4 linked regions of the Anolis sagrei genome follow. The protein of the gene in region 4 purifies or fractionates together with the protein of the main gene of each other region. This does not show direct contact. Links are inferred from orthologs where the notes say so. Each region holds a gene or a part of one and is shown on either strand. Other genes may lie near its edges. The genes, in order: RPRD2, CTDP1, RPAP1 and POLR2J.

What was found.
Region 1: the proteins of POLR2J (region 4) and RPRD2 purify together in Homo sapiens (affinity purification with mass spectrometry; 3 studies listed by BioGRID and IntAct, with this or other methods). This does not show direct contact. The link is inferred for Anolis sagrei from reciprocal best matches to the Homo sapiens genes POLR2J and RPRD2.
Region 2: the proteins of POLR2J (region 4) and CTDP1 purify together in Homo sapiens (affinity purification with mass spectrometry; 4 studies listed by BioGRID and IntAct, with this or other methods). This does not show direct contact. The link is inferred for Anolis sagrei from reciprocal best matches to the Homo sapiens genes POLR2J and CTDP1.
Region 3: the proteins of POLR2J (region 4) and RPAP1 purify together in Homo sapiens (affinity purification with mass spectrometry; 5 studies listed by BioGRID and IntAct, with this or other methods). This does not show direct contact. The link is inferred for Anolis sagrei from reciprocal best matches to the Homo sapiens genes POLR2J and RPAP1.

The regions. Positions count from the first base shown.
Region 1 is NC_090032.1:6,032,668-6,040,775, reverse strand, and holds the start of RPRD2 (regulation of nuclear pre-mRNA domain-containing protein 2), read right to left. Parts: upstream 3,038-8,108; 5' UTR 2,984-3,037; coding exon 2,701-2,983; intron 1-2,700. Other genes in the region: PRPF3 (U4/U6 small nuclear ribonucleoprotein Prp3), read right to left, coding at 7,867-8,013.
Region 2 is NC_090024.1:76,170,600-76,178,642, reverse strand, and holds the start of CTDP1 (RNA polymerase II subunit A C-terminal domain phosphatase), read right to left. Parts: upstream 3,091-8,043; 5' UTR 2,751-3,090; coding exon 2,494-2,750; intron 1-2,493. UniProt on the Homo sapiens protein: Processively dephosphorylates 'Ser-2' and 'Ser-5' of the heptad repeats YSPTSPS in the C-terminal domain of the largest RNA polymerase II subunit. This promotes the activity of RNA polymerase II.
Region 3 is NC_090021.1:288,351,274-288,359,590, reverse strand, and holds the start of RPAP1 (RNA polymerase II-associated protein 1), read right to left. Parts: upstream 3,175-8,317; 5' UTR 3,022-3,174; intron 2,598-3,021; 5' UTR 2,553-2,597; coding exon 2,363-2,552; intron 1-2,362. UniProt on the Homo sapiens protein: Forms an interface between the RNA polymerase II enzyme and chaperone/scaffolding protein, suggesting that it is required to connect RNA polymerase II to regulators of protein complex formation.
Region 4 is NC_090031.1:24,262,873-24,270,837, forward strand, and holds the start of POLR2J (DNA-directed RNA polymerase II subunit RPB11-a), read right to left. Parts: upstream 3,339-7,965; 5' UTR 3,283-3,338; coding exon 3,230-3,282; intron 951-3,229; coding exon 861-950; intron 400-860; coding exon 225-399; intron 1-224. UniProt on the Homo sapiens protein: Core component of RNA polymerase II (Pol II), a DNA-dependent RNA polymerase which synthesizes mRNA precursors and many functional non-coding RNAs using the four ribonucleoside triphosphates as substrates.

The sequences.
Region 1 (8,108 bases), on a different chromosome or scaffold from region 4:
ATTGTGGGGGTTGGAGTCCAAAATCCCTGGAGGGCCCAAGTTGGCCCCTGCCTGCCCTAGAGGGTTAAAGAGGCATATATTTTGGACTTTGGAAGCATATATTTGGACTTTGGAAGCATATATTTGGACTTTGAAGGCAGATATTTGGACTTTGAAGGCAGGTATTTGGACTTTGAAGGCAGGTATTCGGACTTTGAAGGAAGATATTTTGGACTTTGGAGGCAGTAACCGACAACAACAAAACTAGATGATGGGAGCCAAAGGGGCAGAAAAGGAAGCCTTTAATACCCCCCCTCTCGCCATCCGTCTCCCAATCTCTTCCAAAACATCAGCACCTCCCAACAAAGGATTCCCCCCAGGCAGAAATCAGCCAGGCTTTGAAGCTGCAAGACTTTGCAATGCTTGCCTAGTTTCCAACAAAGCCCTTCAACCTCTGAGGATACCTGCCATGGATGTGGGCGAAACGTCAGGAGGGAATGCTGCTGGAATATGCCCAGACAGCCCAGAAAACTCATAGCAACCCAGTGATTCCAGCCATGAAAGCCTTTGACAACACACAGAAAGAATGAATAAAAAATAATAACATAATATTCTGTTATTATTATATCTAATAATAAGGATTTCCCCAGGCAGGAGCCTGGCTTTGAAACTGCAAGGCCATTCAATGCTAATCAAGGTGGCCAATTACAACATTCATATACCTCAAGCAGATGAGAATTCTTTTTCCCGCTTTGGACATCATTCCACAGGGATATATATAAACCCCATTTGCCTAGTTTCCAACAGGCCTCACAACAATATAATAATAATAATAATAATAATAATAATAATAGAGAGAGTGAGGATGCTTGCTTGCCTAGTTTCCAACAGACCCCCCCCCCCCTTCAACCTCTGAGGATTCTTGCCATGGATGAGGGCGAAACGTCAGGAGGGAATGCTGCTGGAACGTGGCCAGACAAACCTGAAAACTCACAGCAACCCAATAATAATAATAATGGGTTGCTGTGAATTTTCAGACCTGGGAACCCCACAACCTCTGAAGATGCCTGCCATGGATGTGGGCGAAACATCAGGAGAGAATGCTGCTGGAAAAGTGGCCAGACAGACCTGAAAACTCACAGCAACCCAAAGGTAAGGCTGTTTTGGGGATTTGGCCAACAGACCTGACAAACTTTGGGGATGCCTGTCATAGATGTGGGCAAAACATCAGGAGAGAATGCTTCTGGGACATGGCCAGAAAGTCCAGAAAACTCACAACAAGCCACACATTAATTCTGCAATATAGATGCAGCCTACCCGGTGAGATGTCAACATGCAGTTTGTTGGTGCAGAAAAAAGGGACCGTTTATATTATTATTATTATTATTATTATTGAAATGTCGTCAGGAGGGAAGGCTGCTGGAATGTGGGCAGAGGTACCTGAAAACTCACAGCAACCCAATTATTATTATTATTATTATCACAATCATGTCACAACCCTATTATTATCACAATTATATCACAGCAACCTAAAACCAATCAAATCATTTATTTCGGTCATTGACCAGCACAGGAAATAGTCACATTTCCATACAAACTTGGTATGTTTGGTACATTAAAAATATAAATATAACTACAGAAGCACAATATGGGTGAGGGAGCAGAAGGGGAAACAGGGTAAAAACATACAATGCCCAGATCCATCACCAAATTGTAGATTCAGGGAAGAAGATTACTGGGTTGCTGTGAATTTTCAGACCTGGAAACCTCACAACCTCTGAGGATGCCTGCCATAGATGTGGGCAAAATGTCAGGAGATAATGCTTCTGGGACATGGCCAGACAGCCAGGAAAACTCACAGCAACCCAATAATAATAATAATAATAATAATAATTGGTTGCTGTGAATTTTCAGACCTGGAAACCTCCCAACCTCTGAGGATGCCTACCATAGATGTGGGAGAAACGTCAGGACAGAATGCTGCTGGAAAAGAGGCCAGACAGACCTGAAAACTCACAGCAACCCAATTATTATTATTATTATTATTATTATTATCACAATTATGTCACAACCCTATTATTATTATCACAATTATATCACAGCAATTCAATAATAATAATAATAATAATAATAATGGGTTGCTGTGAATTTTCAGACCTGGAAACCTCACAACCTCTGAGGATGCCTGCCATAGATGGGGGAGAAACGTCAGGAGAGAATGCTCCTGGGACATGTCCAGACAGCCCAGAATACTCACAGCAACCCAATAATAATAATAATAATAATAATAATAATAATAATAATAATGGGTTGCTGTGAATTTTCAGGCCTGGAAACCTCACAACCTCTGAGGATGCCTGCCATAGATGGGGGAGAAACGTCAGGAGAGAATGCTGCTGGGACATGTCCAGACAGACCTGAATACTCACAGCAACCCAATAATAATAATAATAATAACAATAATAATAATAATAATTACTGTGAATTTTCAGACCTGGAAACCTCACAACCTCTGAGGGTGCCTGCCATAGATGGGGGAGAAACGTCAGGAGAGAATGCTGCTGGGAAAGTGGACAGACAGACCTGAAAACTCACAGCAACCCAATTATTATTATTATTATTATTATTATCATCATCACCCTGATATCCTTGAGTGTGCCTCGTGGGCGGGGCCTGCGGCCTAGCGTCCTGTCCGAAGCCCCTCATTTTCCTAGGCCTCACCTCGTCGCAGGTTCTGGATCCAGTGCCGGACGATGGCGTGGTGGTGGCGCTTGTTCTCCAGGCACCACGACGACAGGCCCTGGATGGACTCCATGGTGTTGGTCACGGCCTGCAGCTTCCTGTCCAGCGAGGCCTCCAGCGAAGACGACGAGGCGGAGGAGGAGGAGGAAGGCGCCGCAGCCGCCGAGGAGGAGGAGGAAGACGAGGACGACGAGGACGACGACGAAGAGGAGGAGGAGGAGGCCTTGCCGCCACCGCCGGCCGCCATTTTGCCTCCCCTCATCGGTCGCACAAGCAACGCCGCTGAGGGGAGGGGAGAAGACGCGTCAGTGCGCAGGCGCGCTTTTGGAACCCTCACTGCGCAGGCGCGGGGGACGGTTCAATCCCTTTCTCGCACACGCCTCCATCCCCGCGCAGGCGCATTGGCCTCACAAACTCTCAAGCGCTGAAGGGAAAAGTAGGCCCCGCCCCTTTTCGCAAGCTCCGCCCACCCTTATCTTCCATCCCCGCGCAGGCGCACTGGCCTCCCAAACTCCCAAGCGCTGAAGTTATACCAAAAGGAAAAGAAGTAGTCCCCGCCCCTTTTCGCAAGCCCCGCCCACCTTCTCTTCCATCTCCGCGCAGACGCACTGGCCTCCCAAGCGCTAAAGTTATTCCAAAGGGAAAAGTAGCCCCCGCCCCTTTTTGCAAGCCCCGCCCACTCCTCGCTTCCATCCCCGCGCAGGCGCACTGGCGACCAAGAGTCTCCCAAGCTCTGAAATTATTCCAAGGGAACAGAAGTAGTCCCCGCCCCTTTTCGCAAGCCCCGCCCACCCTTATCTTCCATCCCCGCGCAGGCGCACTGGCCTCCCAAACTCCCAAGCGCTGAAGTTATTCCAAAGGGAAAAGAAATAGGCCCCGCCCCTTTGCAAGCCCCGCCCACCCTTAGCTTACATCCCCGCGCAGGCGCACTGGCTTTCCAAACTCCCAAGCGCTGAAGTTATTCCAAAGGGAAAGATATAGGCCCCGCCCCTTTTCTCAAGCTCCGCCCACCCTCCGCTTCCATCCCCGCGCAGGCGCACTGGCCTCCCAAGCGCTAAACTTATTCCAAAGAGAAAAGTAGGCCCCGCCCCTTTTTTCAAGCCCCGCCCCACTCCTCTCTTCAATCTCCGCGCAGGCGCACTGACGAGCAAGAGACTCCCAAGCGCTGAAGTTCTTCCAAAGGGAAAAAAAGTCGGCCCCGCCCCTTTGCTCAAGCTCCGCCCACCCTTCGCTTCCATCCCCGCGCAGGCGTACTGGCGAGCAATATTAAATTTAATATTTTAATATTTTAGTATTTGCCATCTTAAATATTTCAATAGATTAAAATGTTTTTAATATTTAATTTTAAATAATATTGGATTTAAATATTAAAATATTAAATTTAATAAACAATTTTAATTTTTAAAATATTTAATACAAATATTTCAATAGATTAAAATGTTTTAAAATATTTCTAGTATTTCCCATATTTGATGTTTTAATAAATTGAAATAATATCAAAATATTCAATTTAATAAACAATATTTAATTTTAAAATATTTAATACAGGTAGGAAAATGCACATTTCAAAAGGAAGAACAGCAATTTCCCCCCCGTTAAAATTTTCTATCTCTTCCCAATGGAAAATTTATCTTGCCCATTGCCCCGCCCACTCCACCAATCAATCATTTAGCCTGGCAACCACGCTACGCATGCGCAAGAGATCCCAACCACGTGCCCAAGGAGGCCAAAGGAACGATTGCTCAGGCTGACGAAGCAGCCAAAAGGTGGCGTTTGCCGGACCCTTATTGGTGGAACCTTGCCCGCCTACTTTCGGAGTAACCAATAGGAAAGCGGAATGAGAACGCGCTCCTCCAATGAGGCTGCGAATAGAACGCGAGAATGAAAAGGAGGCGGCATTGAACTCAAACGCAGCAGTGGGAAGAAATGAAACAACTGCGCATGCGCTGCTAACCTAACCCAGCTGTGCTTTAGAGCATGCGCGGACTAAAGACTCAAAAAAGGGGAGGACGCCTCTGCGCATGCGCAAAACTCCAGTTTCATATAGTATTGAGCCATAGTGGTGTCAAACCGCATCAATCTTCCAGTGTGGCTGAACCCAAATTTACGAAAACACGTGAAAAAGATCAGAGTGCACTTTTGAGGCTCCTTCAAGACTTTTTCCCCCAATTGTACTAGTGTTTATTTCTCAATCTTTTGTTTTTTTAAAGGTAAACAATAGTAAAAATGTCTGTTTTTAAAGGATCTATGAATCCTAGAGTTGGAAGAGACCTGGTGGGTCATCTAGTCCAACCCTATTCTGCCAAGAAGCAGGGAAATCACATTCAAAGCACTCCTAACAGATGGTCATCCAGCCTCTGTTTAAAAGCTCCCAAAGAAGGAGACTCCACCACACCCTGAGGCAGAGAGTTCCACTGCTGAACAGCTTTCACAGTCAGGAAGTTCTTCCTCGTGTTCAGGTGGAATCTCCTTTCCTGTCGTTTGAAGCCATTGCTCCATTGCGTCAAATTGATGGCGAAAGGCATCTTCCAATGAGTAGAAGGTGCGAAATAGAACATTAGGCCCCATCTACACTGCCATATAATCCTGTTTCAGAATGCAGATTGAACTGGATTATATGGAAGTATTTATGACATTTATACCTCACCCGAAGGGTATGTATGCATGTACATGCAATATATTATATTATTAGCATAGCACAGTATTAGTATTATATATTACTATATTGTCCCATACCACTATACTCAATATTATTAAGAATATTACAATATATATTAGCATAGCACAATCTTAGTATTATATATTTCTATATTGCATCATACCATTATACTGCAGTATTATTCGTAATATTACATATTATATTGTATTACAATATTTTGATCAATATTATATATACATACAATATATTATTAGCATAGCACAATACTTGTATTATATATTACTATATTGCACCATACCATTATACTGTTGTATTATTAGTAATATTACATGTGATATAAGATATATATTTAATTATTATATTGTATTATATACAATGTTATGATCAATACTATATGTACATACAATATCTTATATTATTAGCAATATTACATGTGATATAAAATATATAATTATTGTATTATATTACAATATTTTGGTCAATATTATATGTAAATATAATATATTATATTATACTATATTGCTATATTATATATAATATATTATACTATATATATTATATATATACTATATATTATATAATATACTATATAATATATATAATATATTACTATATTGTGCGATACCACTATACTGCAATATTATTAGTAATATTACATGTAATATAAAATACATTATTATAGTATTATATTGTATTACACTATTATGATCAATATTATATGTACATACAATATATTATATTATTAGCATAGCACAACCTTAGTATTATATATTACTATATTGCACTATACCACTATACTGCAATATTATTAGTAATATTACATGTAATGTGAAAAATAAAATTATTTAATTGTTTTACAATATTATGATAAATATTATATGTACATACAATATATTATATTAGCATAGCACAATATTAGTATTATATATTGCACTATACCACTATACTGCAATATTATTAGTAATATAACATGTAATATAAAATATATAATTGTTGTATATTATTACTATATTGTATTACAACATAATGATCAATATTATATGTACATAAAATATATTATATTATTTGCATAGCACAATATTCCTATTATATATTACTATATTGTGCTAAACCACTATACTGCAGTATTAATAATAATATAACATGTAATATAAAATATATAATTATTAATTATTATATTGTATTACAATATTATGATCCACTATACTGCAATATTATTAGTAATATTACGTGTAATATAAAATATATAATTGTTATATATTATTATATTGTATTACAATATTATGATCAATATTATATGTACACACAATACATTATATTATTAGCATAGCACAATATTCATATTATATATTACTATATTGTGCTAAACCACTATACTGCAGTATTATTAATAATATAACATGGAATATAAAATATATAATTATTATATTATTATATTGTATTACAATATTATGATAAATATTATGTGTACATACATACAATATATTATATTAGCATAGCACAATATTAGTATTATATATTACCCTATACCACTATACTGGAATATTATTAGTAATATTACATGTAATATAAAGTGTTTAATTGTTATATATTATTATTATATTGTACTACAATATAATGATCAATATTATATGTACATACAATATATTAGCATAGCACAATATTCATATTATATATTACTATATTGTGCTAAATCACTATACTGCAGTATTATTAATAATATAACATGTAATATAAAATATATAATTATTATATTGTATTACAATATTATGATCCATATTATATGTACATACAATATATTATAATTGTTAGTGTAGTCTCATCTCATCCAGTTCAATCTACACTGCATATAGATGGGGGAGACCTTCAGGATGATAGGATCTGTAGTCAAAAAAAAAAAAAAAACCATACCCAGAAGCCCTCCCCTTTAGTTTCTGACATTGCTATAGTATATGTTCTCAGTCTCCTTAATGCCAAGGAGGAAGCATTTTTTTCCCAAGAAAAGACAGCCACATGGTTTACTTTTTAAAATCTTTTTACCCAAAAAAACAACAACAACCCCAAAGTTTGTTATGTAATGATAGGATATGGGCTAAATCCCCAGTTCCTACTCTTTGCATTGAAAGATGACATTCCAAGAACTGCCCCAGAGCACTTAACTGTCCAACAAAGCTACTGGAAAAGAAAAGAAAAAAAGGAATGGGGGGGGGAAAGCAAATATAGGATCTGCATATCTTCAAAAATAGGTTCAGGAAGAAGAGATGACCAATCGATTCTCGTTGGCTGTTTCCTCCAACAACAAAGCCCTACTTCCAATGGGATTCCTTTTAAAAAATATTTCTTTTTAATGAGGAACTCAAGAAGGAAGTGTGGAAAGAGGAAGAACGCGGTGGGATGAACTCCAAGTCCCATGTTTCAGCTGAGTTCCCGAGGCTCGAAAGCAAAGGAGCTGAAAAGGTGGAAGGTTGGTGTCAAGGGCCCCCTTTTTAGTCCGTGGATTCCAGCACCGACTCGCTGAGCGCCAGGTCCCAGTAGTGCTCGGCCCCGTGTTTCTTAAAGTGCTCCCGTGCCATGTTTTCGGTGGGGCACTGCTTGAACTTCATCTCCCCAAAGCTGCGCTCCTTGGCTGTGCCCTGGGGAAAAAAGGACAGAGAATGGGGCGTTAATGGGAAACGGAATGCTTTCATGGGTGTTTACCTGAAGATCAGTTCAGGCAACACTGCGTTAG
Region 2 (8,043 bases), on a different chromosome or scaffold from region 4:
CAGCAGAAACTTACATGTGACTACATGTAAGTTTCTGCTGGTTAAAGAGTTTAATTCTGGTACTCTGCTATAAAGTATTTATGGTGGAATCACCCCACCTGAGTTATTTTTGAGTCTAACACAGTGTTTCTCAACCTGGGGGTTGGGACCTCTGGGGGAGTTGTGAGGGGGGTTTCAGAGGGGGCTCCACAGACCATCCGAAACATATATTTCTGATGGTCTTAGGAACCCCTTTGACAGAAAAGACTGAAAATATCTCCACCTGTCCTCTTCTTTTTTTGGTGTTGGGGAACTACAATTCCCAGTATTCAAAAACAGCCCCCTCCAACCCCACCAACATTCAATGGTGGCCATGTAGGTAGTGTGCCAATTTTAGTAAACATCCATTGTGGGCTGGGTTCAGAATGCTTTTTGATTGTAGGTGAACTATAAATCCCAGCAACTACAACTCCCAAATGTCAAGATCTATTTCACTCAAACTCTACCAGTGTTCACATTTAGGCATATTAAGTATTTGTGCCAAGTTTGGTCCCGATCCATCATTGTTTGAGTGCACAGTGCTCTCTGGATGTAGGTGAACTACAACCAAAACTCAATGTCAATGGCCACTAAAGTCTTTCAGTATTTTCTGTTGGTCAGGGGAGTTCTGTGTACCACATTTGGTTCAATTCCATCGTTGGTGGAGTTCAGAATGCTCTTTGATTGGGGGGAGGGCTGATATTGTCATTTGGAAGTTGCATGGTTGCTGTTCATTCATTCAGTCGCTTCTGACTCTTTGTGACTTCACGAACCAGCCCACGACAGAGCTCCCTGTCGGCTGTCACCACCCCCAGCTCCTTCAAGGTCAAGCCAGTCACTTCAAGGATGCCATCCATCCATCTTGCCTTTGGTTGGCCCCTCTTCCTTTTTCCTTCCATTTCCCCCAGCATAATTGTATTCTCTAAGCTTTCCTGTGTTCTCATTATCTGTCCAAAATACTTCATCTTTGCCTCCAATATCCTTCCCTCCAGTGAGCAGTTGGGCTTTATTTCCTGAAGTATGGACTTGTTGGATCTTCTTGGGGTCCAAGGCACTCTCAGAATTTTCCTCCAACACCACAATTCAAAAGCATCTATCTTCCTTTGCTCAGCCTTCCCTATGGTCCAACTCTCACATCCGTAGGTGACTATGGAGAATACAATTGCTTTTACTATGCGGATCTTCATTGCCAATGTGATGTCTCTACTCTTCAGTATTTTATCGAGATTGGTCATTGCTCTCCTCCCAAGAAGTAAGCGTCTTCTGATTTCCTGGCTGCAGTCTGCACCTGCAATAATCTTTGGACCTAGAAATACAAAGTCTGTCACTGCTTCCATGTTTTCTTCCTCTATTTGCCAGTTATGAATCATTCTTGTTGTCATAATCTTGGTTTTATTGATGTTTAGCTGCAGCCCAGCTTTTGCACTTTCTTCTTTCACCTTGATTAGAAGGCTCCTCAGCTCCTCTTCACTTCCAGCCATCAAAGTGGTATCATCTACATATCTAAGGTTGTTAATGTTTCTTCCAGCAACTTTCACCCCAGCCTTGCATGCTTCAAGCCCTGCACATCGCATGATGTGATCTGCATACAAGTTGAATAGGTTGGGTGAGAGTATACAACCCTGCCGTACGCCTTTCCCAATCTTGAACCAGTCTGTTGCTACTTGGTCCTTGTACAGATTCCTCAGGAGCGAGACAAGGTGGCTTGGGATCCCCATACTACGGAGAACTTGCCACAATTTATTATGATCCACACAGTCAAAGGCTTTAGAATAGTCAATAAAACAGAAATAGGTTGGGTGAGAGTATACAACCCTGCCATACGCCTTTCCCAATCTTGAACCAGTCCGTTGTTCCATGCTCAGTTCTTACTGTTGCTACTTGGTCCTTATACAGATTCCTCAGGAGAAAGACAAGGTGATTTGGTATACCTATACCACCAAGAACTTGCCACAATTTATTATGATCCACACAGTCAAAGGCTTTAGAATAGTCAATAAAACAGAAATAGATGTTTTTCCTGAAACTCCCTGCCTTTCTCCATTACCCAGCGGATACTGGAAGTTGTAGTTGCTGGGATTTATAGTTCACCTACAATCAATGAGCATTGTGAACTTCACCAAGGATAGAATTGGACCAAAATTCTCCCACAGAACCCGCATGAAATACTGTTTTCTGATAGTCTTCGGCGCCCCCTCTGACACCCCCTCGTGATCCCTCCCAGGCTGCGAAAGGCGGAGGTAGGGGGAAGGAAGCTGGCTTCCTTCTCCAGAGTCAGGGCGAGCGCGAGAGGGCGGGGGAGGAGGGGCGGGCTGATGCCGTTCTTGGCGCCCTCCCTCCCTCCTCCTCCTCCTCCTTCCTGCGCCAGGGATGGGGCGAGTGCTGTGGTGCTTGCTCAGATGAGCTGCGCGGCGAGGCCTAGTCCCGCCCCGGCTGCCCTCCCTCCCTCCCTCCGCTCCTCTCCTCCGGACTCACCCGGGCGGGATGACTTGTCCCGGCCGCGCGCACAGCTCCCGCACCACGCCAGGCCGCTCCGCTTTGACCTTCCGCTCCGGGCCCCGCGCCTCAGAGGCCGCGATAGGCGCGCACACCGCCAGCACCGAGCCGATTTTCACCGCCGCCCCGGCTGAGACTTTCCACTCGAGGAGCCGCAGAGGCTGCGGGCCGGGGACCCGGATCTCCGTCACTTCAGAAGCCGAAGCGGCGGCAGCTGCTCCAGGGTCTTCCTCCATGGCCTCCTAGGCCGGGCCCGTCCGACGCGGGGTCGCTATGGCAACGGCCGCCTCAGCGATAAGAACCGAATGCCAAACGGCAGCTCCCCCCCCTCTTTCCTCCCCTCCCCCTCTTTTTCAAAAAAACAACAACAACACGAAGAAGTAGTCACGAGCAGCGCAGCGGACGGAGCGCGAGGTCAAGACTCTGCTGCGCAGGCGCACGGCGCCGCCGCTGCTGCTCCGTCCCTGCTGCCTTAAAGGAACAGCCGCACCAAGGCGAGAGGAAGGCATCGCAGGTCTGACGATGGAAAGTTTTAAGCCACGCCCTTCCTGCTTCGCGCGCTGGCGCTGGTGACGCAACGGGGCCCGAGCCCTCTTCCCCACCCCTCCGCGTGGGCTGCATAACAGACGAGCCGGTGGGACGCGCATGCGCGGCAGAGTTTGTGTCCCAGCTTTTAAGCCCTGGCTAATGCAGTTTGAACACCACATTACAGGGTGGGGGTGGGTGTTGAAACTTTTTTTTAGCAAATCATGAAGAGTAGTTTGATAACACAACAACAACATTTTTAATACAATCCAAAGACCCTTATTGCTCTGTAAAAGGTATGCAAAGTTAGTAAGGCCAAAAATAGCCAAAATGGATTAAAACACATGACGTGGGTGGAATTAACAGCAGATAAAACTAGCCCCAGCAAACAAGAGTCCTTTGTCCCACCCTGGTCATTCCACAGATATATAAACCCTTTTCCCTAGTTCCAACAGATCTCGCTACCTATGAGGATGCTTGCCATAGATGCAGGCGAAACGTCAGAAGAGAATGCCTCTAGACCATGGCCATATAGACCAAAAAAACCTACAACAACCCAGCAGATAAAACTGATTAAACATGGATTAAAACTTATAACCAGCATTTAAGATAGCAATGACTTAGGTAAAAGACTACAAAGGGTAACTGGCATGTTTCATTTAAAGAAGTTTCTTCACATTCGGAAAAAAACTCTCAATCACAGACAAGATATGCTTCCAGTGCATTTGATGGTTTTTCTGCAGGTGCAATTTCATAGACTTAGCATGGGGATTTGGTTAACCAGTTAAAATTCATGAGTTAACCAGGTTGCTCCCTCCCTATGAGTTCCTCTCACATATTTATACATGGCTATCATTTCTCATCTCAGCCTTCTCTTCTTCAGGCTAAACATGTCCAGCTCTTTAAGCCGCTCCTCATAGGGCTTGTTCTTCAGACCTTTGATCATTTTAGTCTCCCTCCTCTGGACACATTCCAGAGTCCACAGCAGACAAGATCACTCTGCTGGCTGTTGTATTGGATCACTCATTTGCTTTCTGGATTTTTGAATTAAAACCTTTTAAAGACGTGGAAGGTTGAATCCGTGGATACAGAATTAATGGACAAAGAAGGGTGATGCTCCCTGAATGACGGATTATGAATTTTAGCAAAGTGACCTGTGGCAATCTCATTTTCCCCATATTCTGTTTACTGGATATGGGAAGCCAAAGCTTTTCACAGTGGGTTATTGTTGTTTATTTGTTCAGTCGCTTCCGACTTTTCATGACCTCATGGACCAGCCCATGTCATGACCTGAAGCTACCAGTTTTCAAAAGTTCTCTAATAAAACATTAAGAAAAGGGTCATTCAGCTGTTATTGGACAATTCCCTCATTTTATATTAGTTTTGAATTTTCTATAAAATATAAAAATTCCATTGTGGAAACAGTCCAGTTGCAGAAGGTATTGTATTTTCTTCCTTGGAGCTCCGGGTCTTCTATTCCTTCTTGCTGTCTCATCATTGTACAGTAGACTCTCAGTTAACCAGAAAACAAGCAACTGGAGTTGTCAAGCAAACGGCAAAGGTTTGTTGACTGCTGTTTAACTAAAATTGCATACTGCATTGACAAAGCTGTGTTTTTATAATACCATTTTATTTATTGCGTTTCAAAGGCATTGCATACATAAATATAAAATTGATAAAAATAGAAGGAGCACAATCAGCGAAATAATTTTTGACCAAAACTGGGCAACAGCAACCACATTGTCTGTAGCGTTAAACAACTTCTCCTCTGTACACAAGGCAGGGCATTGTGGACAAGCAAACAGGTGCAGAATTGTTTGTTCTGCTCCACAGTCGCACAAGGTGGAGGATTCTTTTAGGTAGTGCCATTTTGCCAGGTTGTCTTTTGATCTGTCCACTCCACTTCTGAGTCTGTTCAAGGACTTCCAAGTTGCCCATACTTGGTTTGCTCTTGGAGGGAGACCCTCATGGGGGACCATCCAATTGGGATTTCCTGGTTTAGCTGCCCAGAGGGATGCTCTTGCTGTCGCTGAGGGAACAGTAAGATACAATATTATAATATTATAAAATTGTGTTACATTAAGTCAGATGTGTCTTTCTTTCAATAGTACTATCATGGCAACATAGAGTTCATGATGTGGTAAAGTATGAGGTATAGTATTATTTAGCCCAAGTTTTAATAGAAACTTTCAAGCAGTCAGAAACTACACTTATCCAGCATCTATCAGTCCTCATTGAGTGCCCTTTAAATGAGAGTCTGTTGCATCAGTTTGGGATCTCGTTTGTGTTAAAGGGCTACATAGATGCATTTTTTTTTGATCCACTCATTTAGAAATTTTGGAAACTTTCAAACCCAAAGTGTCATCATCATTATGAAAAAAATGTGCATAAGCAGATTATGCCTTTGAAGTTACTTCTAGTTGTCCTTGCCCTCTGTTGGTGCCACTCCTCTGTATTTATGGCAAATTACCATAATTCCAAAGATTTACATTCCATTTGAATTTTCATTCTTCCAGAAAAGCCAGTTCCTCTTGTAAAACAGCAAAATAGACTTTTCCACAGCAACTTTAAATATCTGATGGAAAATATACAACATTTGCACTCTAGTAATCTTTAACACCTTTAGGGAATTAACAGTTACTGTATTCAAGGTCTAAAGAAAACACAGGGAATATGTGCCCCTCCTATAATTCTTCAGCATAGGGTGAAATTTTTGGAAAGGCATAACCTTTTGGGAAAAGGATGACCATTGAGATCATAACCTTTTGGAAAACCAGACTCTTCAAAGCCTTTTGGAAGCGTGACCTTTTGGAGATTAATTGGCAGTCACTACCATTTGGAAAATCATAACCTTTTTGTAAAATAAAGATCTTCCTGAGAAAAACTAAAAACTCGTTTGAGTGAATTTTCTCTTTAGCGGTATATATCCACTAGTATTGCTTCAAGGCAATTAGGTTTCTCAGTTGTTAGACTGATATACCTGGTTATCTGTCTGAACTATTAGGAACAAAGATATGACAATGCACAAAATAAATGGAAGATCTTCAGGAGTGTTTTGCTTCAGTTGCCCCCCCCCCCCCCAAAATCTACTCTCCCATAAAATACATTGGTTTTAAATAATGTTCTCATGAGACAAAAAATAAGCAGTCTTTTAAAAAAATAACATAGTTGATTTTCTTACAAACTTTATGTATTCAGCATACAGGTACATTGTTTATCAGTTGAAAGTTTAAACAGTAAGTTCTCTAAGGCATTCTGTTTCATTCTCTTCTCTGTCTTATGCCTAATGCCTAATGAAAATGACTATACAATAAAATATAACACAACACAATACTATACTGATTTCTAAAATGGAGCCTCAGTATGAATAGGCCCAGATCTGATCACATGGTCTGCAGTCTCTCTCACAACCTCAAACAACATAGAGTTAAGGAAGCTGCATATCAAAACATACATATATAATACAGCAAGCAATCTGAATTATATACTGTACATAACAACTAGTATAGGAGGCTTGTAGAAGATTGCTATTTCCAACAGAAATAAATAAGGACTAATGTCAGTTGCAATCCAACATCTGGTGATTGTGTATTCCCCACTCTGGGTGAACCTTACTTTTCCACTGTTAAAACAATTAAAGTGTCTAATCCTACATGATCCATTGGGCTTCAGAATTGTTCCTTCATTGCAATTGGCCAACACCACATTTTCCAAAATGTATCCTTAAATGATTCCAAAACAATAGCATTTTTTCCTAAAATACAAATTGAAGTGTTTTGCAGGTTGAAACACCAAGATCAAATATATAAAATAATTCAAAAAGATCTTGATAAATGCCCACTTTACATCCCAACACAGACACACACCTTTGCTTTTCAAGAATATTCACATTTTCAAACAGCAGTGTCCTCTCCAATTGATTTTTATGTTCTGCTCCCACCTCAAACCTCTTTGCTTTGTAAGTGTTTTGTCTCTGATTTCTATCTGCAATTTTATTCTTGTAAGCAGATGACATCACTTGTATATCAAGCAATATATTTTATAGAAATACTTGTGATCATTAGGAGTGTACTTCTGCATTGAAGAATGGATACAGTTTTGTTATCAAAAAATTGACCCTTCCCTCCCCAAAAGATGGACTCAACATGAATTCTGAAATTACATATGAATTTTATTATATTTTTTTTACATTTTATGAAGTTTCAAAATATTGAAATAATAGCATTTTCCCCTCCCCAAAATGGAGTTGATTTCCAATAGTCCGGCCAGGGAACTACACATTCCAGAGGGGATGAGCTAACCTTTACCGATACAAAACCTGAAGGGACATGAAGAGGAAATTTGTGCCCACTAATCCCAGATAAAATGCCTGTCTACAAATTCCCTAACAAAAGGAGTTTCACTCATTGTTTCTAACTATCCATCTGTCTTTTAAAAAGGATCACTTATGAAACGTACATGGTTATAACCCACTGGGATCTCCAATATATGTTAATAATAATAACTTTATTTATAGCCCACCACCATTTCCCAAAAGGGACACAGGGCGGCTTACAAAAGCACTCATTAGTGCTGTAAACAGATAAGTACAACAATATACATAGGCATTTATAAAACAACAACAGTGTCAATAACACAAAACAAATATACATAAAAATGATATCTAAAACCCCCAACTAGTTTAAATTTTAAAAAATAAATGTTTTATATTAAAGAAAACTTATTTACTTAGGCGATCCCTCGTTGGACGAGTAAGATGGTCTTCCATGATGGGTTTCCTTGTGGATTCGTAGGTGGCTGTGGAGCCCTATTCTTTTTTTTCTTCTTTTTTTGAGATAGTTTTTATTGTGCGGATTTTTCATTTACAAGTAAAAACAAATATACAAAATGAGAGAAAGGAAAAAAAATAGTAAAGAGGGTATAGATAGGAGGAGATAGAAGAAGAAGAGTGGGTGAGATGAAGAGCATGAAACAAGAAGTGAGAGGACAGATACATTTGATCAC
Region 3 (8,317 bases), on a different chromosome or scaffold from region 4:
GCGCTGAGAGGTATGAAATCTGGAGAACAGGAATCATGTCTGATGGGCTACAGCCATGATTGTCATCTATTTAGCCCAATATGAGAACAAACTGTATATGCAACCAGGAAATCTGAGTTAGGCCAAATGTATAATATAAAATATAATATAAACCTTTATTTATATCCCACCACCATCTCCTTGAAAAGACTCAGGGCGACTCACAAAAGCACTCAAAAGTGCAACACACATAAAATACAACAGTACATGACCGTATAAAACAATGACAACATGAATTTACATAACAATTTTACATAAAACATCATATAAACCCTTATTGATTTAAAATTCCGTAGCAGATATAATTCTGCTTCCTAAATTATATTTTTTCATTCAGGGTGTGGATATTACACTGAGAACAGGGTTAAACTCTGTCACCAATTAAGGGCAATAGCAGAAACTAAACGAGATAGCCCAATGGTCACACTACTCATACAATACGGATAGGGTTTAATACAGATGCCATTGGGGCAGCACTATCCACTGTAGCTTCAACTGAGTTGCATGATGGCATTATAGCACATCACATGTAGACAGTGCTACAGTCACAATATAAATAATAATCTCCAGGCAAATAAGGTCTTGCTGTTTTGTTTAAATTGTACTATTTTGGAAATAGCAACCATCTACAAGCCTCCTCTACTAGTTATTTGTTATGTATATCATTGTGATTGTTTACTATAGTGTGTGTATGTATTGGTATGCAGTTTTTCCCTTAACTCTATGTTGTTAGTGGTTGTGGGAGGGACTACAGACCATGTGACCCGGATCTTAGAATGTTCAGAGTGAAATTCCACTTTAGAATGTGTTTGAATCAGAAGTCAGTTGGAATCAGTTAAGTCAGTTCAGACTTGAGTCAGTTGGAAGTTAGAAGTCAGTGAAGTATGTTGATGTCAGTTAGAGCAGGAATATAGTCAGTATGCTGCAGTGAGATGTTCAGTTAATATAGGAGTCTGTTTGCAGCAGATGAGCAGTTAAAGTACCCCCAGTAGAGCAGTTTTGAGTATAATTCAGTTAACATTATATGCCTTTCCAGAATAGGATAAACCCCAGCACTATGTCCCAGTAGCACTTTACTAGAGTCTCTTGCACAGGGCACTTGCCCAGAATTCCAACATACCACCTCTCACACCCAGCACTTTTTAATCTGGACCCTTCATTGGCCCGGCCCTGGTTTTATTGCGTAATAGTGTAATGTTTTGTTATTGCTTATGTTTTTAATTTGCTTTGTATCGTATTGTTATTGTCTATTGTTGTTGTGTTGAGGCCTTGGCCTTTGTAAGCCGCATCGAGTCCTTCGGGAGATGCTAGCGGGATACAAATAAAGTTTAATAATAATAATAACATGAAACCAATAAGAAATGTAACTGTATGCTAAATACATGAGGAAGAACTTCGAACAGTGAGAGCTATTCAATAGTGGTACTCTCTGCCCCGGAGTGTGATGGAGGCTCCTTCTTTGGAGGTTTTTAAGCAGAGGCTGGATGGCCATCTGTTGGGGGTACTTTGAATGCAATTTTCCTGCTTCTTGGCAGGGGCTTGGACTGGATGGCCCATGAGGTCTCTTCCAAATCTATGATTCTATAAGTTCGTACGTAAATCAATTAGGTTAACTTTTAATGAAGACTGCTTACTTTTTGGTCTCTTGCAAGCATGATTAAAAGCAATATATTTTATGGGACAGTAGATATATTTTTCGGCAACTGAAATAACACTTCTGAAGATCTGCTATATATTTTGTGCATTGGCATATCTTTGCTGCCAACATTTCAAAGAGATAATCAGGTATATCAGTCTAACAGCTAAGAAACCTAATATGCCTTGCATTGATACTAATGGATATTTACCACTAAGGAGATGGTTGACTCAAGCAAGTTTTTAACTCTTCTCAAGAAGATCACACTTTTTAAAAAGTTACGATCTCCAACAAGGTCATGCCTTTCCAAAAAGCTTATGATTACTCCAAATAATGTGAATGCCAATTAATCTCCAAAAGGGTCACACTTCCAAAAGGGTTTCCTGGTTTTTCCCAATACTTACATACTTAGGCGATCGCTCATTGTCCGAGTAGGATAGTCTTCCGGGATCAGTGTACTGGTGGTGGGTCCATAGGTGACTGTGGAGCCCTATTCTTGATCTGCATTTTCTCCTGCAGTGAAGGCATTGATTTCCCGGTCAGGGTTGGCTTGATGCGCCTTCCTCTTGGCACGTTTCTCTCTTTCGCCCTCCATTCGTACCTCTTAAAATTCTATAGCACTGCTGGTCACAGCTGACCTCCCAATATACTAAGACACCAACATAAAATAACTTACAACAGACTTACCATCCAACATCACCACATCTCTGCCATGCTGCAATGGGGGTCTGTCATCATCTCCACTTCCCAAATCCCCTTTCCTTTTATCTGCTTTCTTGACTATTTTCACTGCTGGGGAAGCTTTCACTGAGAGGAATTCATTCTGGAACTGCAACAAGTCCGCTTCCGATTCACCGGGCTTGGGTCTTGACAACATCTTCCTCCTGTTGCCTTCTTGTGCGGAGCGTATAGATGACTTGATCTACATTTTTAGAAAGGGAAGAGTTTAACATCCTTCATTTTCACAAACTTTGCATCTACACAAGCACATAATCGGGTTCTAAGAATTCAAGGGGGGGAAAACTTAGTTTCTATTATAGGAAACGCAAGTTCCAGAAGTAGACATTCACACAGGTTATCTGCAACCTGGCATGGGCAAACTTCGGCCCTCCCGGTGTTTTGGACTTCAACTCCCACAATTCCTAACAGCCTACCGGCTGTTAGGAATTGTGGGAGTTGAAGTCCAAAACACCGGGAGGGCCGAAGTTTGCATATGCTGAAATACATGAGGCAGGAGGAGGGGCGCCATGCTCATCCCTCCCAGCAGAGCCAGCCATGCCTCTGGCGGCCGAGAGCCTTTTCCTTCTGTGGGCAAGAAGAACCTCCTTCCCTGGTGGTCTCTATACCTCGAGGTCGCCCGAAAGAGGGAACGGCAAGCCTTTGGGAGGCCAAACGGCGCCTTCTTTCTGTCCCTGCTTCCGGGCTCTTCCAGGCCTCGCCTCTCCTTCCGCCTCCAGTGAGAAGGGGCGGCTTCCTCTCAGGCCTAACTCCGCCCCCGCCGCCATTTTGGACTCAGAGCCAGCCTCCCTCTGGAGAACGAAGGTCCTTTTAACTCCCAAGGCTCAATACTATGGGACCCAGCGACGTGTAGTTTGGTGAGGCTCCAGAGAAGGCGCCTCACCTTGTGAAAGTACACCTTCCAGGTTTCCACAGCATTGAGCGTGGCGGTGAAAGAGGAGTCCAATGACAGCCCTTCTGCTGCAGTATAAACACTCTTTTCCCCACACTCTGCTCATCTAGCAGTTTTTGGACTTCAGCTCCCAGCATGCCTTGTCACAAGCCAAGGCAGCTGAGGCTTCTGGGAGTTGAAGGCCAAAAGAACCTGGAGGACTAAAATGAAGTTCAACAGGGACAAATGCAAGGTACTCCACTTAGGCAGGAAAAAACGAAATGCAAAGATACAGAATGGGGGACAATACTTGGATCGAGAGCAGTATGTGTGAAAAAGATCTTGGAGTCCTCGTGGACAACAAGTTAAACATGAGCCAACAATGTGATGTGGTGGCAAAAAAAAAGCCAATGGGATGTTGGCCTGCATCAATAGGAGCATAGTGTCTAGATCTAGGGAAGTAATGCTACCCCTCTATTCCGCCTTGGTTATTATTATTATTATTATTATTATCTTTATTTGTACCCCGCTAGCATCTCCCGAAGGACTCGATGCAGCTTACAAAAACAGATGCGGTTGGACCATACCTGGAATATTGTGTCCAGTTCTGGGCATCACAATTGAAGAGAGATGTTGACAAGCTGGAATGTGTCCAGAGGAGGGCGACTAAAATGATCAAGGGTCTGGAGAACAAGCCCTATGAGGAGCGGCTTAAGGAGCTGGGCATGTTTAGTCTGAAGAAGAGAAGGCTGAGAGGAGATATGATAGGTAAAGGTAAAGGTAGTCCCCTGACATTAAGTCCAGTCATGTCTGACTCTGGGGTGTGGTGCTCATCTCCATTTCTAAGCCGAAGAGCCAGCATTGTCCGTAGACACCTCCAAGGTCATGTGGCCGGCATGACTGCATGGAGCACCGTTACCTTCCCACTGGAGCGATACCTATTGATCTACTCACATTTGCATGTTTTCGAACTGCTAGGTTGGCAGAAGCTAGGGCTGACAGCGGAAGCTCACACCGCTCCCCAGAATCGAACCTGCGACCTTTCGATCAACAAGCTCAGCAGCTCAGTGCTTTAACCCACTGCGCCACCGGGGGCTCCCTATATTTAAACTGTTACGTTTGTTCATATCATGATCTGATCACCATATTCAATATATCCCATATGCATGGGGATATTGGGGTAACGATACAAAAGGTTTGCTAGGGTAGACCCTCTTTCACTCAGACTCAGCCCCCCTGAAACAAACTCAGCTCCCCCCCCCCCCCCGCCCCGAATCGAAATCCTGGCTACAGGCCTGACATGAGCCAACAATGTGATGTGGCAGCAAAAAAAGCTAATGGGATTTTGGCCTGCATCAATAGGAACATAGTGTCTAGATCAGGGGTCCTCAAACTAAGTCTCGGGGGTTGGAAGCGGCCCTCGAAGGTCATTTACCCGGCCCTCGCTCAGGGTCAACCCAAGTCTGAAACGACTTGAAAGTACACAACAATAACAACAATTCTATCTCATCAGCCAAAAGTAGGCCCACACTTCCCCATTGAAATACTAATAATTTTATATTTGTTGAAATTGTTCTTCATTTCAATTATTGTATAGTTTCAAAGTGTTTTTGCACTACAAATAAGATATGTGCAGTGTGCATAGGAATTCATTCATGCTTTTTTCAAATTATAATCTGGCCCTCCCAACAGTTTGAGGGACTGTTACCTGGCCTTCTGTTTTAAAAGTTTGTGGACCCCTGGTCTAGATCTAGGGAAGTCATGTCCAATTCTGGGCATCACAATTGAAGAGAGATGTTGACAAGCTGGAATGTGTCCAGAGGAGGGCGACTAAAATGATCAAGGGTCTGGAGAACAAGCCCTATGAGGAGCGGCTTAAGGAGCTGGGCATGTTTAGCCTGAAGAAGAGAAGGCTGAGAGGAGATATGATAGCCATGTATAAATATGTGAGAGGAAGCCACAGGGAGGAGGGAGCAAGCTTGTTTTCTGCTTCCCTGACTAGGACACAGAACAACAGCTTCAAACTACAAGAAAGGAGATTCCATCTGAACATGAGGAAGAACTTCCTGACTGTGAGAGCCGTTGAGCAGTGGAACTGTCTGCCCCGGAGTGTGGTGGAGGCTCCTTCTTTGGAGGTTTTTAAACAGAGGCTAGATGGCCATCTGTCAGGGGTGCTTTGAATCCAATATTCCTGCTTCTTGGCTGGGGGTTGGGCTGGATGGCCCATGAGGTCGCTTCCAACTCTATGATTCTATGATTCTATGACTAGAACAGCATGGGCCCTCCCTCCATGTGTTTTGGACTTCAACTCCCACCATTCCTAACAGCCTCACGCCTGGGATCAGATCCTAGGATATAGGCCCTGTCTGGAAGTGCCCCCAGAATATCAAGACAGATAATCCACAATATCCGCTTTGAACTGGGTTATCTTAAGTCCACACTGCCATATAATCCAGTTCAATGTGGATTTTATACAGCTTTCTGGAAGAGGCCCTAGTCCACATTGCCATATAACCCAGTTCAAAGCAAATAATATGGGATTTTATACACCTATGTGGAAGGGACCAAAGCTGTTGGGATATAACTATTTCATGGAATTAATTAATGTGACATTCTCTCCTGACGTTTCACCTGCATCTATGACAGGCATCCTCAGAGTTTGTGAGGTGGCATGTATAGAATCATAAAGTTAAAAGAGACCACATGGGGCTTGTAGTCCAACCCCTTAACATGCAAGAAAATACAGCCAAAACAGCCCCGACTGGCCCCATTTACACTGCTATATACAATCCAAATTATTTGCTTTGTACTGGATTGTATGACAGTGTAGACTCATAATCCAGTTTATCTGAACAAGAGTGAGTCACATGTGATTCCATGTTTCTTTTTTGAAATGTTTTTCTTTCTAGTATAGTGTTTGAGGTGAAGGACATTTGAGATATTGGAATCTTATTCATAAAATATCAAGAATATCTGTCAGGCCTGAGGCTGTTAGGAATGGTGGGAGTTGAAGTCCTAAACACCTGAAAGGCCAAAGTTTGCCCTTGCCTTCTCTATACTGTAGAATGAATGCCTTTTTGACACTACTTAAACTTCCATGGCTCAATGCTCTGGAATCCAGAGATCTGTAGTTTAGGGAGGCAGCAGAAAGCTTTGGCAGAAGAGTGGATTGCTGTGAGTTTTCCGGGCTGTATGGCCATGTTCCAGAAGCATTTTCTCCTGACATTTCACCCACATCTATGGCAGGCATCCTCAGAGGTTGTGAGGTCTGTTGGAAACTAAGTGAAGTTTATATATCTGTAGAATTTCCAGGGTGGGAGAAAGAACTCTTGGCTGCTTGAGATAGGTGTGAATGTTGCAATTGGCATTGCATGGCCTTGCAGCTTCAAAGCCTGGCTGGTTGCTGACTGGGAGAATCCTTTGTTGGAAGGTGATTAGCTGGCCCTGATTGATTCATGTCTGGAAGTCCCCTGCTTTTTTCGAGTTGCTCTTTATTTACTGTCCTGATTTTAGTTTTTTTAAATACATTGGTAGCCAGATTTTGTTCATTTTCATGGTTTCCTCCTTTCTGTTGCAATTGTTCACATGCTTGTGGGTTTCAATGTCTTCTCTGTATAGCCTGAAATGGTAGAGTGGCCCAACATTTCTGTGTTCTCAAATAATATGGTGTGTCCAGTTTGCTTCATCAAGTGCTCTGCTATGACTGATTTCTCTGGTTGAAGTAGTCTGCAGTGCCTTTCATGTTCCTTGATTCGTGTTTGGGAAATGCTGCCTTTGGTGGTCCCTATGACTTGTCCACAGCTGCATAGTATACAGTAGACTCCTGCAGAAGTGAGAGGATCCTGCTGAATGTAGCATTCGTTGGATTTTCTTAGTAGGTCTGTAGATATTTTGTATGTTGTGTTTCTTCATCAGTTTCCCAATGCAATCAGTGATTCCCTTGATGTAGGGCAACAACACTTTTTCCTCTTGGTGGATCTTTGTCTTTATTCTCGTGGCTTGTTCTTGCTCTTGCAGCTCTTCTGATGTCTGTGGTTGAGTATCCATTGGCCTGTAAAACCCAGTTTAGGTGGTTCAGTTCACCTTGGAGGCGGTGGGGTTCATAGATTATTTTTGAATGGTCTGCCAGGACTTTAATTGTGCTTCGTTTTTTGACTTGGGTGATGGTTGGAGTTTTTTTGTAGGTATCTATCCATTTGTAGGTTTTCTGTTAACTGTGCAGCCCAATTGTTGATTGGGTTTACAGATGACTAGGACATCTAAAAATGGCAGTTTAATGTATGGTCGAAGGCTTTAATGGGTGAAATCACTGGGTTGTTGTAGGTTTTTCGGGCTATATGGCCATATTCTAGAAGCATTCTCTCCTGGTGTTTCACCTGCATCTATGGCAAGCATCTTCAGAGCTTGTGAGGTCTCATAGATGTAGGCGAAACGTCAGGAGAGAATGCTTGTAGAACATGGCCATATAACCCGAAAACCCTACAACAATCCAATGACAGTTTTCCTCCATTTTCTTTTCCCATGGTGAATTGGATGCTGTTGAGGTGGTCCAGGAACTTGTTTAGTTCTTCTTTTCTATGGTTCCAAATAGTGAAAGTGTCATCCACATATCTGAACCATGTAGTGGGCTTTTTTGTTGTGGTTTCCAAGGCTTATTTTTCAAAGTGTTCCATGTAGAAATTTGCTATGACTGGTTCCCCATGGTTATTCCATCTTTCTGTTTATAGAATTCACTGGTAGTACCTTATGGTGAGGCAATGGTGAAACAGGAATGGCCAGAAATTGACCAAAATGATTGGAATGTATATAAGAGTTATTATGCATGCCATCATACAAGCAAATACCAAATACCAAAACCAAATACTATGAGCAACAGCATTAGAATAAATGTATAAACAAGGGCCTTCCAGACAGCCCTATATCCCAGAATATCAAGGCAGAAAATTCCACAATATCTGCTTTGAACTGGATTATCTGAGTACACACTCAGATAATGTGGGATTTTCTGCCTTGATGCTCTGGAATATAGGACT
Region 4 (7,965 bases):
TAGATAGATAGATAGATAGATAGATAGATAGATAGATAGATAAAATCATAGGTTTGAAAGGGACCCCCAAAGACCATCCAGTCCAGCCCTTTTAAACTAAGAGTCCTTTGTAAATGGGATGTTTGTACCCTGGGGATGGTGTGTATCAATACATATATAGATAGATAAATATAATATCATAGACTTAGAAGGGCCCCCCAAAGGCCACCCAATCCAGCCCTTACGCGGAAGCGCTCCTCGAGGAGGGAGAGCTCGCTGATGAGGTCGGTGATGGCGTTGGTGAAGGCCTCTTGGGGGCTGTAGTCGGGGGTGGTCTGCACCCGGATGATGATCTTGTGCTCCAGCGGGTGGGGGACCTTGTAGCCCGCAAACAGCACCTGCGGGTCCTTCAGCAGCTGCCTGCAAGGAAACACCAGAGGCACTCCAAGTGGCCGGCTTCTGTTCAAAGGACATTTTGTCCTGATCTGTTGTTTTCTAGAGAAGAAATTACCTCACAGACTGACTGGAAGGGCTTTATTTCTCAAAGTATACAGTATGGTTACAAACAAAGTTCCATCTGACAGTTGGTTTCCCTCTCACCTCATATCACAGACCACCTACTACATTTAATACAATGCCAAGTTATTAAATTTGTGGTTTTAAATACATTATAACTGTACCTTCAACTCGCTTCTGACAGGATAAATAAATAAATTTTAATTCTCTGTGATATGGGGAAGCTTCCAAAGCTTTCATGGCAAAATGCAAGAGCCATCGTCGTTGTCATCATCATCATCCTTAGTGAAATGTGGAAGCTTCCAAAGGCTTGATGGCAAAATGCAGGTGTCTTATCCTCATCATCATGACCCCTCTTTACTTACGATTTAATGATGTTCCCGAGCGTATGGTCTTCCTTGTTAATGGTGAAGAGGCAGGCATTGGGGACTTTGGTGTCCTTGTTGATGGTAATCCTGGAAGGAAAATAAACCAGGAAAAGCCTCAGGCACATATATAGACAGCTCAGTATCAATATGAAGACAATATTTGAGAGGTCACTTTAAGGAGATAGCTTTCTCTTGAAATAAGGATCCAATGGCGGAATGGGATCAAATGGCAGGAAAAGAGATCCCACCTCAACATGAGGAAGATGGTCATAAGATATAAAAGAATAATAACATAATATATAATAAATAATATAATGTACAGTAAGAATAGAATAGGAAAGGGTAAGGATAAAACCACAAATAATATGTCACCTCTAGACTGGACTACTGCAATGCGCTCTACGTGGGGCTGCCCTTGAAAACGGCTCGGAAATTCCAATTGGTCCAACGGGCAGCAGCCAGGATGTTAACGGGGGCCCATTACAGAGAGAGGTCAACCCTCCTGTTTAAGGAACTCCACTGGCTGCCGTTTATTTTCCGAGCCCAATTTAAGGTGCAGGTGCTTACCTACAAAGCCCTGAACGGTTTGGGACCACCCTACCTGCGTGACCGCATCACAGTCTACGAACCCACACGCTCACTCCGGTCATCAGGAGAGGCCCTGCTCGTGATCCCGCCCGCGTCGCAGGCGCGTTTGGTGGGGACACGGGACAGGGCCTTCTCTGTGGTGGCCCCCCACCTCTGGAATGCCCTCCCGAAAAATCTCAGACAGGCCCCTACCTTGGCGGTTTTCAGAAAGAACCTGAAAACCTGGCTGTTCCTACGTGCCTTCTCAGATTAGGACCCCCACTACCAAAGCCCAGAAGCACTTTAGTAGAGTCAAGATCACCCTCACCGCACACTGCACTTATATTTTAATCCCATATCCCTCCGACACTTCAGCACTTTTTAACCCTGTACCTCACTCTGGCCGGCTCAGTTTTTAATAATGTTCTGTTGTACTGCTACTGTTATTGTTTTCTGCTTTAACTGTTTTAATTTGCTATGTATTGTATTGTTGTATTGTGTTGGGCTCCGGCCTGTCGTAAGCCGCATCAAATCCCTTGGGAGATGCTAGCGGGGTACAAATAAAGTTATAATAATAATAATAATAATCTAATTTAAAATAAGAATTATATATTTATATTATAGAAATAAAAAGAAGGTATATGTATAAAAGAAAAATAAAATAATATCCAATCTAATAAATAATATAACATAGTTTAGAGTAATAATTATATAGGATAATATACAATATATACATAATATAATAATAAAATAAGAATAGAAAGAATATATATTAAAAATAAGAATATGAGTATATGTAAGAATAATATAAAATAATATGTAACAATAAATAATATAAAATAATATATATATATTCTAATACTACAAAATACTATAAAATAGAAACAATATATAATACTATAAAATAAAATATAAATATATCATAAATAATATAACAAAATTTAAAATAACTATTATTACATAGTAATGATGTAAAACAAGACATATATATTTATATTGTAATATGCATATATAATAATATAAAAAAGAATAACATATATAATACCATAAAATATAAAACTAGACTATATAATATAATAAATAATATAACAATTTAAAATAATATATTATATATAATAAAATAATAAACAGTAATATAAAAGAATACTATAATACTAGATATAGGGGTAATATCATGAAATATATATATATTATAATATAAAAATAATATGACTATATATAATAAATAAAATAATTTATAATATGATAAATAATAAAACAATTTAAAATAATATATATTATATATAATACAAAATAATACATAGTAACATAAAATAATACTATAAAACAAGATATAGGTGTAATACTATAAAAGAAGTATATAGATTATATTATAAAAATAATATAAAATAAGAATAAATAATATAATATAGCAATTTAGAATAATAAAGATGTGCATGTTATAATATAAAATAAGAATTATAGAAATATAGTATAAAATAAGAATTTACAATATATATATAATATTAATATAACAATTTAAAATATTAAAATATAACAATATAAAATAAGAATACATCGATATCATAATAATACTATATATATATATATATATATATATATATTACTATGAAATATGAATGAAATAATTATCTCTATCAAGGTACAGCCTTTAGGCCCGCTTCTCTGGTAGTTTTGCCACAGAGACAGCCCGGCCATCTGTCGGGACGGGTTGGATGGTGCCCCGCCTGCCTGGCCACAGCGGGGGTGGGCCTGGGTGGTCTCTGGAGGCCCCTATTATCCCGGTGGAGGGAACTCACTTTTTCTCCCCTTCGAAGAGCAAGAAGGACTCAAAGGCCGGAGGAGCGTTCATGGCTGGCGCTGGTCTTTCCTGGCGCTTCCGGCTCCGCCCCTTCCGGTTCTTCCGCGCTAAGGGCGCGAGCGTGAGGCCTCTTCTGGCCTTCCTTCCTTGCGCGCGCCCCCCCTCTGGAGGCCCCCGGCGGTACTGCAGGCTCTTCGTGGAGTCAGGTCAGGGCCCTCCCTCCTCCCTCCCTCCAGGTCTTTGGGACTTCAGTTGTGAGAGGATTTCGGAGGTGGGGGGGGGGCTGAAGCCCCCCGAGCCCCCCCCCCCCGGCTACATGCCTGTAGACAGACATAAAAACAGATAGATAGATTGTCAGATAAATAGTCAGATAGATAGACAGCCAGGGAGTGTGATAGCTAGAAACACATAGATAAATAGATAGATAGATAGATAGATAGATAGATAGATAGATAGATAGATAGATAGATAGATAGATAGATAGATAGATAGATGTTCAGATAGATAGATAGATAGATAGATAGATAGATAGGCAGTCAGATAGATAGGCCAATAGATAGATAGATAGGCCAATAGATGATAGATAGGCCAATAGATAGATAGATAGGCCAATAGATGATAGATAGATAGACAGTCAGATAGATAGTCAGATAGATAGACTGACTATCTGATATAGATATAGATCATCTGATATAGATCATCTATTGGCCTATCTATCTGACTGCCTATCTATCTGACTATCTATTTATCTATCTGAACATCTATCTATCTATCTATTTATCTAATTTTATACATGACTATCTATCTATTTATCTATCTATGTGTTTCTAGCTATCACACTCCCTGGCTGTCTATCTATCTGACTGTCTATCTGACTGTCTGTCTATCTATCTATCTATCTATCTATCTATCTATCTATCAGACTGTCTATCTGATAGATAGATAGATAGATGATAGATAGATAGATAGTCAGATAGATAGATGGATGGATGGGTGGATAGATGGATGGATTGGATGGATGGATGGATAGATAGACAGACAGTCAAGTAGATAGATAAATAGATTGATAGTCAGATATATAATCAGATAGATAGATAGACAGTCAGATAGATGGATAGATGGATAGATAGATCGGCAGTCAGATAGATAAATAGCTAGATAGTCAGATAAATAGTCAGATAGATAGATAGGCAGATAGCTAAGCAGTTAGATATATAGTCAGATTGATAGATCGATAAATAGGTCGATAGTCAGATATATAATCAGATAGATAGACAGTCAGATAGATAGATAGATAGATAGATAGTCAGATAGATTAATAGATAGTCAGATAGATTAATAGATAGTCAGATAGATTAATAAATAGTCAGATAGATAGATAGACAGATAGATTGATAGATTTAGAACCTCCGAATAAATAGACAAACTTGAATTGGAAAATGACCCAGTAACGGTCCAAGACGATGGAACGGATAAGGACTTGAATGAGAGGACATAGTTTTTTTGTTTTTAAAATTGTTATTATGCCCTATCTTTATGTTTAAATGCATTATAATGGTTACTTTTGTTTATCAATGTATGCATTTTTATGGCATCGAATTGTGCCGACTGTGTATGCCGCTCTGAGTCGCCTTCTGGCTGATATGGGCATGGCAGAAATAATGCAAATAAATAAATAAATAGTCAGTTAGATAAATAGATAGATAGCTAGGTAGATAGATAGTCAGATAGATAAATAAATAGATAGTTAGGCAGATAGATATATAGTCAGATTGATAGATAAATAGATCAGTAGTCAGATAGATATATAATCAGATAGATAGATAGACAGACAAATAGTCAGACAGATAGGCAGTCAGATAGATAGATATAATCAGATAGGTAGATAGCTAGAGAGACAGATAGGCAGTCAGATAGATAGATAGTTATAGATACATCTATTTGGTGAAGCAGGGGAATGCTAAATCAACCTAAAAGTCAATCTCTCCAGATTCGATTTCAAAAAAGAGACAGATAGATAGATAGATAGATAGAGAGAGAGAGAGATAGATAGATAGGAGGCCAAATATGTGTCTCTTGAAATCAATGTCTCTATCTTTCTGCCTATTATTTAATAGATGCAGATGTGGAAGGCCTAGAGCCGACCTCCTGCCTTTCCCCATTCTGATGCGGCCCTCCTCCTCCTCCTCCTCCTCCTCCTCCTCCTCCTCCTCCTCGAGGATTATGGGCTTTGCTGTCCGCTGACCGGATCTGCCTGACGTGAGCTCTGCGTAATCCGGACACCCACCCATTCACTCAGCATCTGGCACTCTGGAAACCAGCAGCAGTGCCAACATCTGGAGGACTTTAAGCCCCGGAAAGCGAGGACATCCTGGGCACTCGGGAGAGCGCCTTTGCTTTTGTTTTTTATGAATGCTCCCATTAGAAAATGCATAAGGATGTGGGTGAACTACAATTCCCAAAATTGTGGGTCAGTCCTCCCTAAAGTCTGTCATTATTTACAGTTGGGTCTGTGCGCAAAGTTTGGTCCAGATTCATTGTTGGCTGGCTTCAGAGGGCTCTCTGAATATGGGTGAACTATAACTCCCAGATGCCAAGGTCAATCACCCCCAAACCCCTCCAGTAGGCAAAGTTGTCTGTGTTGGGTCTGTGTGCCAGGTTTGATCCAGATCTGTCATTGGTGGAGTTTGAACGCCTCACTTAATACAGGTGAACTATAACTCCCAGATTTCAAAGACAATCATCTCCTAACCTTTAGGCACAGTCATGTTGTCTCTGTGTGCCAAGTTCAGATCCCTTGTCGGCTGGGTTCAGTGCTCTCTGGATAAGGGTGAACTACAACTCCCAGAATTCAAGGTCAATTACCCCTCACCAGGACGTAAAGTGTGTGTGTGTGGGGGGGGGGGGGGTTCTGTGCCCCAAATTTGTTGTAGGTCAATCATTTGTGGGAGTCACAGTGCTTTCTGGAAGTGGATGAAGGTACTTCAAATCCCATCATCCGTGGTCCATCCTCCCCCCAAACCTCACCAAGATGTAAAGTGGGTCTAACCCCATTAGTGAGTGAAGGTACTGCAAATCCCATCATCCATGGTACAATCTCTTCCAAACCTCATCAGGACATAAAGTGGGTCATGGGGGGGGGGTGTTATTGCGCCAAGTTTGGCCCAGGTTCGTCATTCGTGGAGGTCGCAGTCTGTGGCAGTGAGTGAAAGCGCTGCAAACACCATTATCTGTGGTTCATCCTGCCCCAAATTGCACCAGGATGGAAAAAAGAAGGAAGGAAGGAAGGAAAGAAAGGGGGAAAATAGGTAGGAAACAAGGAAGGAAGAAAGGAAGGAAAGAAGGGAGGAAGGAAAGGAGGTAGGGAGGAAAGAAAGGGAAAGGGAAAAAAGGAAGGAAAGGAAGGGAAAAAAGAAAAGGAAGGTAAGAGGGAAAGGTAGGGGAGGGAACAAAAGAAAGAAGAGAAGAGGAAAAGAAGAGAAGAAAGGAGGGAGAGAAAGAAAAGGGGTAGATATGAGAAGAGGGGAGGAAAGAAAGAAAGAAGGAAAAAGAAGGAAGCAAGGAAAGGAAAGGTAAGGAGAGAGGGAGGAAAGAAGAAAAGAAGGAAGGGAAGGAAAGGAGGGAGGAATGAAGGAAAGAAAGAAAGAAAGGAAAGGAGGTAGGGAGGGAAAAAGTAAGCAAGAAAAGGAAAGAAGGAAGCAAGGAAGGAAGGAAAGAAAGAAAGAAAGGAGGTAGGGAGGGAAGAAGTAAGCAAGGAAAGGAAAGAAGGAAGCCAAGAAGGAAGGAAGGAAAGGAGGTAGGGAGGGAAGAAGGCAGCAAGGAAAGAAGCAAGGAAAGGAAAGAAGGAAGGAAGGAAGGAAGGAAGGAAAGGAGGTAGGGAGGAAAGAAGGAAGGAAGGAAAGGAGGAAGGGAGGAAAGAAGGAAGGAAAGCCAGAAGGAAGGAAGGAAAGAAGGAATGAAGGAAAAAAAGAAAGGAAAGGAGGTAGGGAGGGAAGAAGGAAGGAAGGAAGGAAGGAAGGAAAGGAGGTAAGGAGGAAGGAAAGGAACGAAGGAAGGAAGGAAAGAAGGAAGGGAAGGAAAGGAGGAAAGGAGGAAAGAAGGAAGGAAGGAAAGCCAGAAGGAAGGAAGGAAAGAAAGAAGCAAGGAAAGGAAGGGAGGAAAGAAGGAAGGAAGGAAGGAAGGAAGGAAGGAAGGAAGGGAGGTAGGGAGGGAAGAAGACAGCAAGGAAAGAAGCAAGGAAAAGAAAGAAGGAAGGAAGGAAGGAAGGAAAGGAGGTAGGGAGGAAGGAAAGGAACGAAAGAAGGAAGGAAAGAAGGAAGGGAAGGAAAGGAGGAGGAGAGGAAAGAAGGAAGGAAAGAAAGCCAGAAGGAAGTAAGGAAGGAAAGAAGCAAGGAAAGGAAAGAAGGAAAGAAAGGAAAGGAGGGAGGGGAGGAAAGGATGGAAGGAGGAAAAAAGGGAGGAAGGAAAGAAGCAAGGAAAAGAAATGAAAGGAAGGATGGAAGGAAAGGAAAGAAAGGAAAGGAGAGAGGAAGAAAAGAAGGAAGAAAAAGAAGGAAGGAAGGATGGATGGAAGCCGAGAGAGAGAGGGCGAAGAAGGCGCCGGGATGCCTTCAGAGACCGGGGAAGAAGAAGAGGGCAATCCCGGCTGCCGGGCGCTCTGCCAATGGGGCGCTCCCCCTTCCCCGGCCCCGCCCCTTTCCTCCCGCGGGGCTTCCCGATTGGCGGAGGCGCGGA